Anolis sagrei: one gene and its partners. The protein of the gene in region 2 purifies or fractionates together with the protein of the main gene of each other region. This does not show direct contact. Links are inferred from orthologs where the notes say so. Each region holds a gene or a part of one and is shown on either strand. Other genes may lie near its edges.

What was found.
Region 1: the proteins of DVL2 (region 2) and DACT1 purify together in Homo sapiens (affinity purification with western blotting; 3 studies listed by BioGRID and IntAct, with this or other methods). This does not show direct contact. The link is inferred for Anolis sagrei from reciprocal best matches to the Homo sapiens genes DVL2 and DACT1.
Region 3: the proteins of DVL2 (region 2) and NEDD4L purify together in Homo sapiens (affinity purification with mass spectrometry; 4 studies listed by BioGRID and IntAct, with this or other methods). This does not show direct contact. The link is inferred for Anolis sagrei from reciprocal best matches to the Homo sapiens genes DVL2 and NEDD4L.

The regions. Positions count from the first base shown.
Region 1 is NC_090021.1:334,345,116-334,348,862, reverse strand, and holds the start of DACT1 (dapper homolog 1), read left to right. Parts: upstream 1-867; 5' UTR 868-930; coding exon 931-1,233; intron 1,234-3,747.
Region 2 is NC_090026.1:4,389,082-4,392,828, forward strand, and holds the start of DVL2 (segment polarity protein dishevelled homolog DVL-2), read right to left. Parts: upstream 2,320-3,747; 5' UTR 2,145-2,319; coding exon 1,864-2,144; intron 1-1,863.
Region 3 is NC_090022.1:282,592,318-282,596,064, reverse strand, and holds the start of NEDD4L (E3 ubiquitin-protein ligase NEDD4-like), read left to right. Parts: upstream 1-1,365; 5' UTR 1,366-1,553; coding exon 1,554-2,723; intron 2,724-3,747. UniProt on the Homo sapiens protein: E3 ubiquitin-protein ligase that mediates the polyubiquitination of lysine and cysteine residues on target proteins and is thereby implicated in the regulation of various signaling pathways including autophagy, innate immunity or DNA repair.

The DNA of each region.
Region 1 (3,747 bases), on a different chromosome or scaffold from region 2:
TGTGGCAGGGCTCAGGTTGCATTGCAGCAGGTGCTCAGTGGTTTGCCCTTCTCCACACTCGCATGTCGAGGACTCCACTTTGTAACCCCATTTCTGAAGGTTGGCTCTGCATCTCGTGGTGCCAGAGTGCAGTCTGTTCAGCGCCTTCCAAGTCGCCCAGTCCTCTGTGTGCCCAGGGGGGAGTCTCTCATCTGGTATCAGCCATTGGTTGAGGTTCTGGGTTTGAGCCTGCCATTTTTGGACTCTTGCTTGCTAGTGAATGCAGGAGAAAGAAGTGGGCGGGGAGAAGTCAGGAATGGGCGTGACCAAAGGAGGAGGAGGATTGGCTTTCCATAGACAAGTGGACACAGTAGGGAGAAGAAGTGGGTGCGGCCAAGTCCAGAATGGGCGGAGCAAAGGGAGGAGCTTTGGCTTTCCATAAACCAGTGGAAGAAGGAGGATGAAAAAGTGGGCGGGGTAAAATCCAGAATGGGCGGAGCCAAAGGAGGAGGCTTGGCTTTCCCTAGATCAGTGAACGCAGGAAGGAGAAGAAGTGGGCGTGGCCAAGTCCAGAATGGGCGGAGCCAAAGGAAGAGTAGGCTTGGCTTTCCATAGACCAGAGAGTACAGTATCGAGAAGTGGGAGGGGCCAAGTCAAGAATGGGCGGGGCCAAAGCAGGAGCAGGCTTGGCTTTCCATTGACTAGTGTGAATGCAGGAGGGAAAAGTGGGCGGGGAAATTTCAGCAATAGGCGGAGCGAAGGGAGGAGCTTTGTTTTCCCTCGACCAGTAGACGCAAGAGGGCGAAGAAGTGGGCGAGGCTAAGTCCCAGAATGGGCGGAGCCAAGGGAGGAGCCTCGGCTTCCCTCAGAGAAACTGCATCAGTCGTTCAGTGGCAGCCGAGGAGGAAGGATCGAGTAGAGTCCTTCCTCGGAGGCTGGCAAGAAGCCGGGATGAAGGCTTCCCCGGAGGCGGACGGGCGCCGGAGCGAGGCTTCGGAGACAGCCGAGCGCCTCCGGACCCGCGAGCGCCTCGAGGCCACGCTGGCCGGGCTGGCTGAGCTGTCTTTCCTCCGGCGGCGGCAGGAGTTGCGCGTCCAGCGGTGGATGCCCGCTGCCTTACCCGCTCAGGAGGCGCCTTCGCCGGCTGTGAATGCAGAAGGAGCCGCTGTCGCCGCTGCAGCTCCTGCCTCCTCTCCACGGAGTTTGGAGGAGCAGTTTTTGGAGGAGAACATCCTTCTCTTAAGGAGGCAGCTGGTGAGTCCGAGGAGGGACCGCGGATACGGGGACCCGCGGATACGGAAACCCCTTTGGTGCCAGGTCCCACGACTATGGGTAATCATGGGAATTGGTACCCGCTGGGTCTCGGTATCCGCGGGACTCGGTATCCGCGGGTTTCCGTATCCGCGGGCCAACTTGGGCCCTCCAGGGGTTTTGGACTTCAACTCCCACCATTCCTAACAGCCTACCGGCTGTTAGGAATGGTGGGAGTTGAAGTCCAAAACCCCTGGAGGGCCCAAGTTGGCCCATACCTTGTTATCCGCGGGTTTCGGTATCCACGGTTTCCATAGACTTACATGGAGCATAGGGGGCATTTAGGGGACAATGGGTGTACTTGTCCCTCTCCCCTGCAGGAATCCCAGCCAAGTGGGTGGGGAGCTGCATTGCTTCTGCTTTCCAAGGCTTTTTCTGCAGCATTGGCAGCCAAGATTTCAAGCTGCGGGGAAACAAGAGATGAAAAATCAAGGTCAGGGGCTGTTTTGTCTCTTGGATTGCTTTTGGGTGATTTTGGGAGGATGGAATCATAAAATCCTAGAATTTGAAGAGACCTCGTGGGCCATCCAGTCCAACCCCCTGCCAAAAAACCCACGAAAATTGCATTCAAAGCACTCCCGACAGATGGCCATCCAGCCTCTGTTTAAAAGCCTCCAAAGAAGGAACCTCCACCACACTACGGGGCAGAGAGTTCCACTGATAAACAGTCTTGAAGATAATTTTTTCCTGGGGGAGGCTTCCCCTAGGCAGGAAGCAGCCAGGCTTTGAAGCTGCAAGGCCATTCAAAGCTAATCAAGCTGGCCAATTGCAACATTCAGGCTTCCTAACTGGGGGAACCCTTTGTTCAGAAACTCTTACCTTCTTGCTGTTCCTCCAAAGCTGTTCAGCAGTGGAACTCTCTGCCCCAGACTAGGCTTCCCCTAGACAGGAAGCAGCCAGGCTTTGAAGCTGCAAGGCCATTCAATGCTAATCAAGCTGGCCAATTGCAACATTCAGGCTTCCTAACTGGGGGAATCCTTTGTTCGGAAACTCTTACCTTCTTGCTGTTCCTCCAAAGCTGTTCAGCAGTGGAACTCTCTGCCCCAGACTATGGTAGAGGCTCCTTCTTTGGAGGCTTTTAAAGAGAGGCTGGATGGCCATCTGTTTGGGGTTCGTTGAATGTGATTTTCCTGCTTTTTGGCAGAATGGGGTTGGATTGGATGGCCCATGAGGTGGTTGTTCCTTCAGTTCCTACAAAGTTGTTCAGCAGTGGAACTCTCTGCCCTGGAGGTGCCTTCTTTGGAGGCTTTTATACAGTCTGGATGGCCATCTGTTTGGGGTTCGTTGAATGTGATTTTCCTGCTTTTTCCCCCTGCTTTTTTCCTGGATTGGATGGCCCATGAGGTGGTTGTTCCTTCAGCTCCTCCGAAGCTGTTCAGCAGTGGAACTCTCTGCCCCAGAGTATGGTAGAGGCTCCTTCTTTGGAGGCTTTTAAAGAGAGGCTGGATGGCCATCTGTTTGGGGTTCGTTGAATGTGATGTTCCTGCTTCTTGCAGAATGGGGTTGGATTGGATGGCCCATGAGGTTGTTGTTCCTTCAGTTCCTCCAAAGCTGTTCAACAGTGGAACTCTCTGCCCTGGAGTGTGGTGGAGGCTCCTTTTATGGAGGCTTTTAAACAGAGGCTGGATGCCCATCTGTTGGGGGTGTGTTGAATGCGATTTTCCTGCTTCTTGGCAAAATTGGGTTGGATTGGGTGTTGTTCCTTCAGTTCCTTCAAAGCTGTTCAGCAGTGGAACTCTCTGCCCCAGAGTGTGGTGGAGGATCCTTCTTTGGAGGCTTTTATGTAGAGTCTGGATGGCCATCTGTCAGGGGTTCATTGAATGTGATTTTCTTGCTTCTTGGCAGAATGGGGTTGGATTGGATGGCCCATGAGGGTGTTGTTCCTTCAGTTCCTCCAAAGCTGTTCAGCAATGGAACTCTCTGCCCTGGAGTGTGAGGAGGCTCCTTCTTTGGAGGCTTTCAAAGACAGGCTGGATGGCCATCTGTTTGGGGTTCATTTAATGTGATTTTCTTGGCAGAAGGGTTGGATTGGATGGTCCATGAGGTTGTTGTTCCTTCAGTTCCTCCAAAGCTGTTCAGCAGTGGAACTCTCTGCCCCAGAGTGTGGTAGAAGCTCCTTTTTTGGAGGTTTTGAAACAAAGGCTGGATGGCCATCTGTTGGGAGTGCTTTGAATGCGATTTTCCTGCTTCTTGGCAGAATGGGGTTGGCTTGGATGAGGTCTCTTCCAACTCTATGATTCTATGAATCTCTTGGAATGGCCATCTGTCGGGTGTGCTTGGATTGTGCCTTCCTGTACAGCAGGAGGTTGGACTACATGACCTTTGAGGGTCTCTTCCAACTCTATGATTCTATGAATCTCTTGGAATGGCTATCTGTCGGGTGTGCTTGGATTGTGCCTTCCTGTACAGCAGGAGGTTGGACTAAATGGCCTTTGAAGGTCTCTTCCAACTCTACGA
Region 2 (3,747 bases):
GTGGAGTTCAGAATGTTCTTCGATTGTAATGAACTATAAATCCCAGCAACTACAACTCCCAAATGTCAAGATCTATTTTCCCCAGACTCCACCAGTGTTCACATTTGGGCATATTGAGTATTCGTGCCAAGTTTGGTCCATTGCATGAGTCCACAGTGCTCTCTGGATATAGGTGAACTACAACTCCCAAACTCAAGGTCAATGCCCATCAAACCCTTCCAGTGTTTTCCATTGGTCATGGGAGCCAAGTTTGTTTCAAATCCATCGAGTTCAGAATGCTCTTTGATTATAAGTGAACTATAAATCCCAGCAACTACAACTCCCAAATGACAAAATCAATCCTCCCCCAACCCCACTAGCATTTACATGTGGGTGCATTGGGTATTTGTGCCCAGTTTGGTCCAGTGACTGAAAATGCATCCCGCATATCTGATATTTACATTATGATTTGTAACAGTAGTAAAATGACTGTTATGAAGTAGCAACGAAAACAATATAATGGTTGGGGGTCACTACAACATGAGGGACTGGATTAAGGGGTCACGGCATTAGGAAGGTTGAGAACCACTGCCTTTCCTACGGACATTAGACTAGCACCATCTCTAATGGTATTCCGCAAAAAGGTGAAGACCTGGCTGTTTGTGCAGGCGTTTGAGTAATTTAGTGCAATCTGGTAATGGAACATAGGAATGGAACAATGGACGACGAACCTGGACTACGCTTGGGTGATGAGAAGATTGGGTACGGTTGTTTTTTTTGTAATAATTGTGCATTGTAATTGTTTATTGGTAATTTATGGATAATGTGTTAAGTCAATTGTTATATGTTGTATGGAACCACTGCTGTTTCTACTGTTTTTACTGTTTGTGAACCGCTGTGAGTCGCCTTCGGGCTTGAGATACAGCGGTATATAAGCAAAGTAAATAAATAAATAATAAATAATATATAGACAATAACACGCAATGGGGTTGGACTGGGTGGCCTTTGGGGCCCCCTTCTAGGATTCTATGCTTCTAATAACCTATAAAACCCTATACGGTTCCGGCCCAGTGTACTTGTCCGAACGGATCTCCCTCTACATCCCACCTCGAAGTTTAAGATCTTCTGGGGAGGCCCTGCTCTCGACCCCGCCAGTCTCACAAGTGAGGCTGGCGGGGACTAGGAGCAGGGCCTTCTCGGTGGCGGCCCCCCGCCTGTGGAACTCACTCCCCGGGGAGATTAGATCGGCGACTTCCCTCCTAGCATTTAGGAAAAAACTAAAGACCTGGATGTGGGACCAAGCTTTTGGTCACTCTGACAACTAACTCAAGGACCTGGTGATAGACAAGGACAAACGGAATAGAACAGATGTATGGACTGATATATGGACTCTGACATGAGATTGGTTTAGGTTTTATGATTTTACTATGTATTGATGTTTTAATCTAACTGCTGAATTGTTATATTTTTTGGATTACTTGTTGTGTGATTGGACATCTAATTGTGCCCTCCCTGTAAGCCGCCCTGAGTCCCCCTCGGGGTGAGAAGGGCGGGGTATAAGTGAATGAAATAAATAAATAAATAAATAATAACAGTAATAATCAGAGGCTGGAGGGCTTGGGTAAGATATTCAAGTAGATGAGAATGGGGTCAGACTGGGTGGCCTTTGGGGCCCCCTTCTAGGATTCTATACTTCTAATAACAATAATAATTGGAGAGTGGAAGGCCATCTGTTGGGAGGGCTTGGGTAGGATCTCCCTGTAAAGAATGGAGTTGAAGGGCAGGGCAGGGCCTCAGAAGAGGGCCCTCCCCAAACGCCCAAGGCCCTTCCTTGGGGGCACATGGGGAGGGATGTCTGTCTTCTCCCCCTTCGGGAGTCCTCACCCGAAGTCCTGGTCCATGCTCTTGAAGAAGTACTTGGCGCCAGGCCTGGCCAGGGCGGCCTTGACGTGGCCTAGAGTGAGGCGCTCGGCCGGGACCGGGATCTTCACCAGGTAAGGCGTCTCCTCTTCGTCCAGGTGGTAGATCACCTTCGTCTCGCCCGCGGGCTGCATGGAGGAAGAGGAGGAGGAGGAAGAAGAGGCAGAAGCGGCGTTGAGAAGAGCAGGAGGAGGAGGAGGATGAGGCTGAGGCGGCGCGCTAGGCCCGGAGCCCGCCATCGCCATGGCAACCAGCGGAAGGGCGGAAGCACAGGCGCCTCCTTCTTCTCCTTCCTTTAGGCCGCGCCCACGTTACCGAAGAGAGGGGGGGCAGGTAAAGTTAATAGCGGGGGGGGGTTAATAAAATAAAAAAAGGGAGGGGGAAAGGGGAAGAACGAAGGGACGAAGCCGCCCTCTCTCTCTCTCTCTCCTCTCTTTCGTCGCGCAGCTTACGTCACCACGCACGCGTTGCGCGCGCAGCTCCGCCCCTCGCTTGGGGAAAACAAGGCGTGAGGGGGCGTCACGTGACGAGCGTCTCCTCCTCCTCCTCCTCCTGCTCTTCTTCTTCTTCTTCTTGGGTCAGCCTGGCTTCCTAGGCCTGTCAACATAGAATCATAGAATCAAAGAGTTGGAAGAGACCTCATGGGTCATCATCCAGTCCAACCCCATTCTGCCAAGAAGCAGGAATATTGCATTCAAATCACTCCTGACAGATGGCCATCCAGCCTCTGCTTAAAAGCTTCCAAAGAAGGAGCCCCCACCACACTCCAGGACAGAGAGTTCCACTGCTGAACGGCTCTTTCTCAAGTTCTTTCTCATGTTCAGATGGAATCTCCTCTCTTGTAGCTTGAAGCCATTGTTCCACTGCATCCTAGTCTCCAAGGAAGCAGAAAACAAGCTTGCTCCCTCCTCCTCCCTGTGGCTTCCTCTCACATATTTATACATGGCCCTCATCATGTCTCCTCTCAACCTTCCCTTCAACAACTGCACTGCATCCTGTCAGATCCCCAAAATCTGGAGAAAAGCAAGAGTCATTGCCATCTTGAAGCCAGGCAAAGACCGTAGTGACCCAAAAAGCTACAGACCAATCTCCCTGTTGTGCCACCTCTACAAAGTTCTGGAGAGACTTCTTTTGCATAGAATTGTGGAAAATCTAGACCCATGTCTGACCCCCGAGCAAGCTGGCTTCAGAAAAGGCAAAAGCTGCACATCGCAAGTGCTGAACCTGACTCAGCACATAGAAGATGGCTTTGAAAGGCAGCAGATCACAGGAGCTGTCTTCGTAGACCTGTCAGCAGCCTATGAGACTGTGAACCACCACCTCCTCCTGAGAAAAATGTATAGTATCACAAAGGACAACCACCTCACCCGCCTCATAGGAAACCTGCTACAAAACAGGAGCTTTTTTGTTGAGCTCCAGGGCCAGAGAAGCAAATGGCGGAAACAGAAGAACGGCCTGCCTCAGGGGAGCGTGCTTGCTCCATCCATGTTCAACATCTACACAAATGACCAGCCACTGCCAGAAGGGACAGAGAGATTCATCTATGCTGATGATCGTGCCATTACTGCTCAAGCAGGGAGCTTTGAGATGGTTGAACAGAAGCTCTCCGAAGCTCTAGGTGCCCTTACTGCCTATTACAGGGAAAACCAGCTGATCCCTAACCCATCTAAAACACAGACATGTGCCTTTCATCTCAAGAACAGAGAAGCATCCCGAGCTCTGAAGATCACCTAGTAAGGAATCCCACTGGAGCATTGCAGCACACCCAAAGACCTGGGAGTCACTCTGGACCGTGCTCTTACCTACAAGAAGCACTGCCTGAATATCAAGCAAAAAGTGGGTGCTAGA
Region 3 (3,747 bases), on a different chromosome or scaffold from region 2:
GCAAAACACCAACATACAGAGTACGCAAAACATAAGCGTAGAATTCTCAAAACAACACAAATACATTAAAAACCAATCCCAAAAACACAATAGGGGTTTGCACTAGCCTTCGACTGTCAGTGCTGTTCCCCTTTCCCCTTTGTAATTAGAGCTGTTTTATTTCTCTGTCTGAAAACAAGTTGCTAGAAAACCGAGGCTGAAATGTCTATGATGTGACTCAGACCCGACACCTGTATAAGATTTCTTTTCCCCTTTAGCTCTATGAAGCTTTCATTTACAAAGGCAGTTGTTGTACTTGCCTCCTGACAGTACTGTTTGGTTTCATTGCCTTGCCTTTAAATTCATTCTTGAAGGAGTGTTTTCAGTTGTACTTCAGCCATACCTCCCCTCCTTATTATTTAAACTACCACACAGAGCAGAGCCGAATTCGGGCATTGTTTAATTTTGGGTTTCAGACTGCCTGTTAGTTCTTCTGATGCTTTTGGCTCCTAATAAAGCAGAGCTCTGTTCCATTCTGGCAACCCAAGCTACTAATATTGCTAAACTTTCTCACTGGAGTTTTGCCAGCGCTGGGCAGCGTTTATGTACGGTGTTTAAGTCAGATCTGTACAGCTCTTCATGCACACCCTGTTCCAGATTTTACTTGCCTTCTCAACCTCTTAAAAACTGGGAAAGAGAGACTGTTGCTTGCTACTGGCTGCTTCTTGAATTGTGCGTGTAAGAGTTTTTTCTCTCTGTTTTTTTTCCTCCCCAAAAAGATCTTACTGTAGCCAAAGTGGGTTATTATAGTCCGTTTATGGTGGCAATATGATATCTGTGTCTTTCACTTCAGGAACGTATTGCTGCTTAAATTGCTTCAGGCATAAAGAGAGAAATATGCGGTTTCTAGCGTTCTCTGATAAGTATTTGCAGTAGTCTGAAGTTTGCAGCCAACTTTAAACAAACAAAATTTCAGTTTCTCTCTCTCTGCCTTTGCCCAGCCATTTTTTCCCTTGGTGATTCCCGATCTGCATGAACATATTAAGTGGATTTATTTTTCACGGAGGGAGGGAGAGGTCTTGTGTGGCTTCCCCCACTTGTCTTTCTTTTTCTTTTGGCTTAGAACAGAAATGTTCCGTGAATATGATGCAGTTTAGATTTATAGCGGAGTCGAGTGTGTTTGCTGCCTTAGTCAGCTGTGAGAGATCTCCCGCTGGGGCCGCTCCTTTTCTGATGGAAAAGGAACAGCTGTGAAGGTGCTGTTTCAGGCTATTGCTGGTATTAAAGTGAAAAAAATAGTTGCTTGCATTGGAGAGGGGGAAATGGGTCATGTGATGCCAGCCATCCTACCCTATGTCACAGTTTGGAGGAGCACCGATTGCTCTTATCCAATCATGCCTGGAATGCTGCTGGCCACTTGGGCTATTTCTGCTGCCTGTCTCTATCGGTGCAGTAGTGCTAACAGTTTGGCAGATGGGACACTTTTTCTTGGAGTTTATGTCTTTAGTTCTTAATTTCTGGCAGTGCCTGGACTCGTCGCTGTCTCCCCCTCCCCTCTCCTTTCTCCTGAAACCATGGCCCATCGGCTGCGGTTTCATTTTGGCTCCGGACGAAGCAACACCGCTCCTGAGTCGGGGATCCTTGACCGTGAGAGAGAAGAGGATGACTTTTTCATGGCATGCCACACTTTGCCCAGAAGGAATGGGCCTCATACTTTCTCAAGGCGAAGGGCTGAGTGTGGAGATAACCACAGGGATTTGCGGGAAGCCGGTTCCTTGAAGAGGAGCACCTCTATGTTTATTCCTCAGCTTCTCAACAGCATAGATGCCCGGCCCACCAGGAGCTCTTCTGTGCAGATTTCACTCCAGCGCAAGGCTGTCAATGGGCATGCTGATGAATGCGAGGGCACGGAATCCCCCCCAGAAGACATGGGGGATTTTTCAGATTTAGGGGAGCATTGCACATCTCTTGATGGAAGCCATTCTTCTTCTAACAGTCAGCAGGTCACCCCAGACAACTCTCCACCCAGGCAAGCGGAGAACCCAGAGTATGAGATTAACGGAGAGCCATCTAATCACAGGATATTTTGTACCATCCCTTCCAATAACTGGACTGACAATGGTGCAGCCACTGGCCAGGACCACGAAGCAAGCAAAACCGGATTAGGCTTAAACATTGGCAGGGTAAGGATTCAGCATCGGGCTTCGAGCGTAGACGTGCCTCATGTTACGCTAATGCCCTTTGACTCAGAGGCGCCAAACAATGCTTCGGCCTCAGAACCCAGGCGCTGGTCTTTGCAACATTTGCCAGAAGGCTCTACCAATTCAGGAAAGAAATTCTTTGTTTTCCAATTGCAGCAGCCCCCGGCAAATAGCACAGGGACAGACTACAATTTTGGTTTCACGGGAACGAAAGGGGATCGGTTGGTTAGGTATCCACGAATACGTCTGGAGAGGAGTACCTCATATCCAGTTCACCCACAGCCAGAACGCATTAGCCCCATGGAGGGTGAAAGTGTGAATTCAACACTTCACGGAAATAGCAGGAATGGCACTGAAAAATCCAGAGGCAATCCAGTGGAGCGGGTTTCTCCAGGGCAAGGATGCATGTTTAAAATCCATCCAGATCAAAACTCAAGGCAGCAGCATTTCAGAATTCTTGTAACTCGTGGGATTAATGAGAAAGGTCAAAGTTCTGGATCAGAGAATTCAACTGGTTCTGCTCCTGTTGCAACCAATTCATCAGTAAGTAAATGTTAACGAAGTGGTAATTTAAGTTTTCACTTAGATTGTTTTGAGTCAGGGGATAAGGGGAATGGAAACTCAGATGCTTCGTGCAGGTCACATAGTTGTGAAATATCATATAGCAATGTTAGAAAGACCTACAATCTTCCAGAACAATCTGAAAGCATCTATGTTTTGTTAGGCTAAAGTAGCTTTCAGTTATGACTACTTCCAGTGCAATGTTTTCAGGTCTTCTGGTGACTCATGAGTTACTTAATTCATTGCTACGTTGTCAAATACAGTTCGGTAGTTATGTGTGTGTATATAATACTCTGCCCATTTTGCCTTATTTCTATGCTTTTAAAAAAAGTCCTATAATCTTTAAAATCTCAAGTGATATATACATTTATGCCAAACATACTATGTATACCTCGTTAAAAGTTAAGGATCAAAAGCTGTTTTTCAAAAATATTAGCGCAGTTTTAGTGTCTTTTTGTTTAATTGCTTATAAATGTGAAAAAGTAGTCATGGAATCCCAAACGTTTTGATTTGTTAATTTCAGTTTTGGTTATACTACTATTTTCGTCATTAGCCTTAACAAATTAGGTATATTTCATATTCTACAAACAATAGGCATAGTTTTTTTTCACAGAAGGATATATAATAAACGAATGCCAAAGTTGTATTTTTTAAAATTGTGCTTTGTTGTTGCTTGAATGCCACTAGTCTCTTACATGTTCCAGCTCCATATGAAAACAAACAAAAGAGATGTTTTTGGCCCGTATCGCTTCCGCCTGTGTAATCATGGCATATATTGCAGTTCGATGCTGGAAGGCAGCATCTAACTGTGGGAAGGCATTGTGATGGTTGCTGCGTAATACAAAAAGACTTTTATTCTACCCAGTTTAACTTATCGATATATACCTATTATATCACTGAGAAGATTATAGATGCCTAGCACCAATTGCATTCCAGATAAGGGAATCAGGTTCATAAAGACATTGTTCTTTTCTTTTAGGCATCATTGTGTCAGTATTGTGTGCTA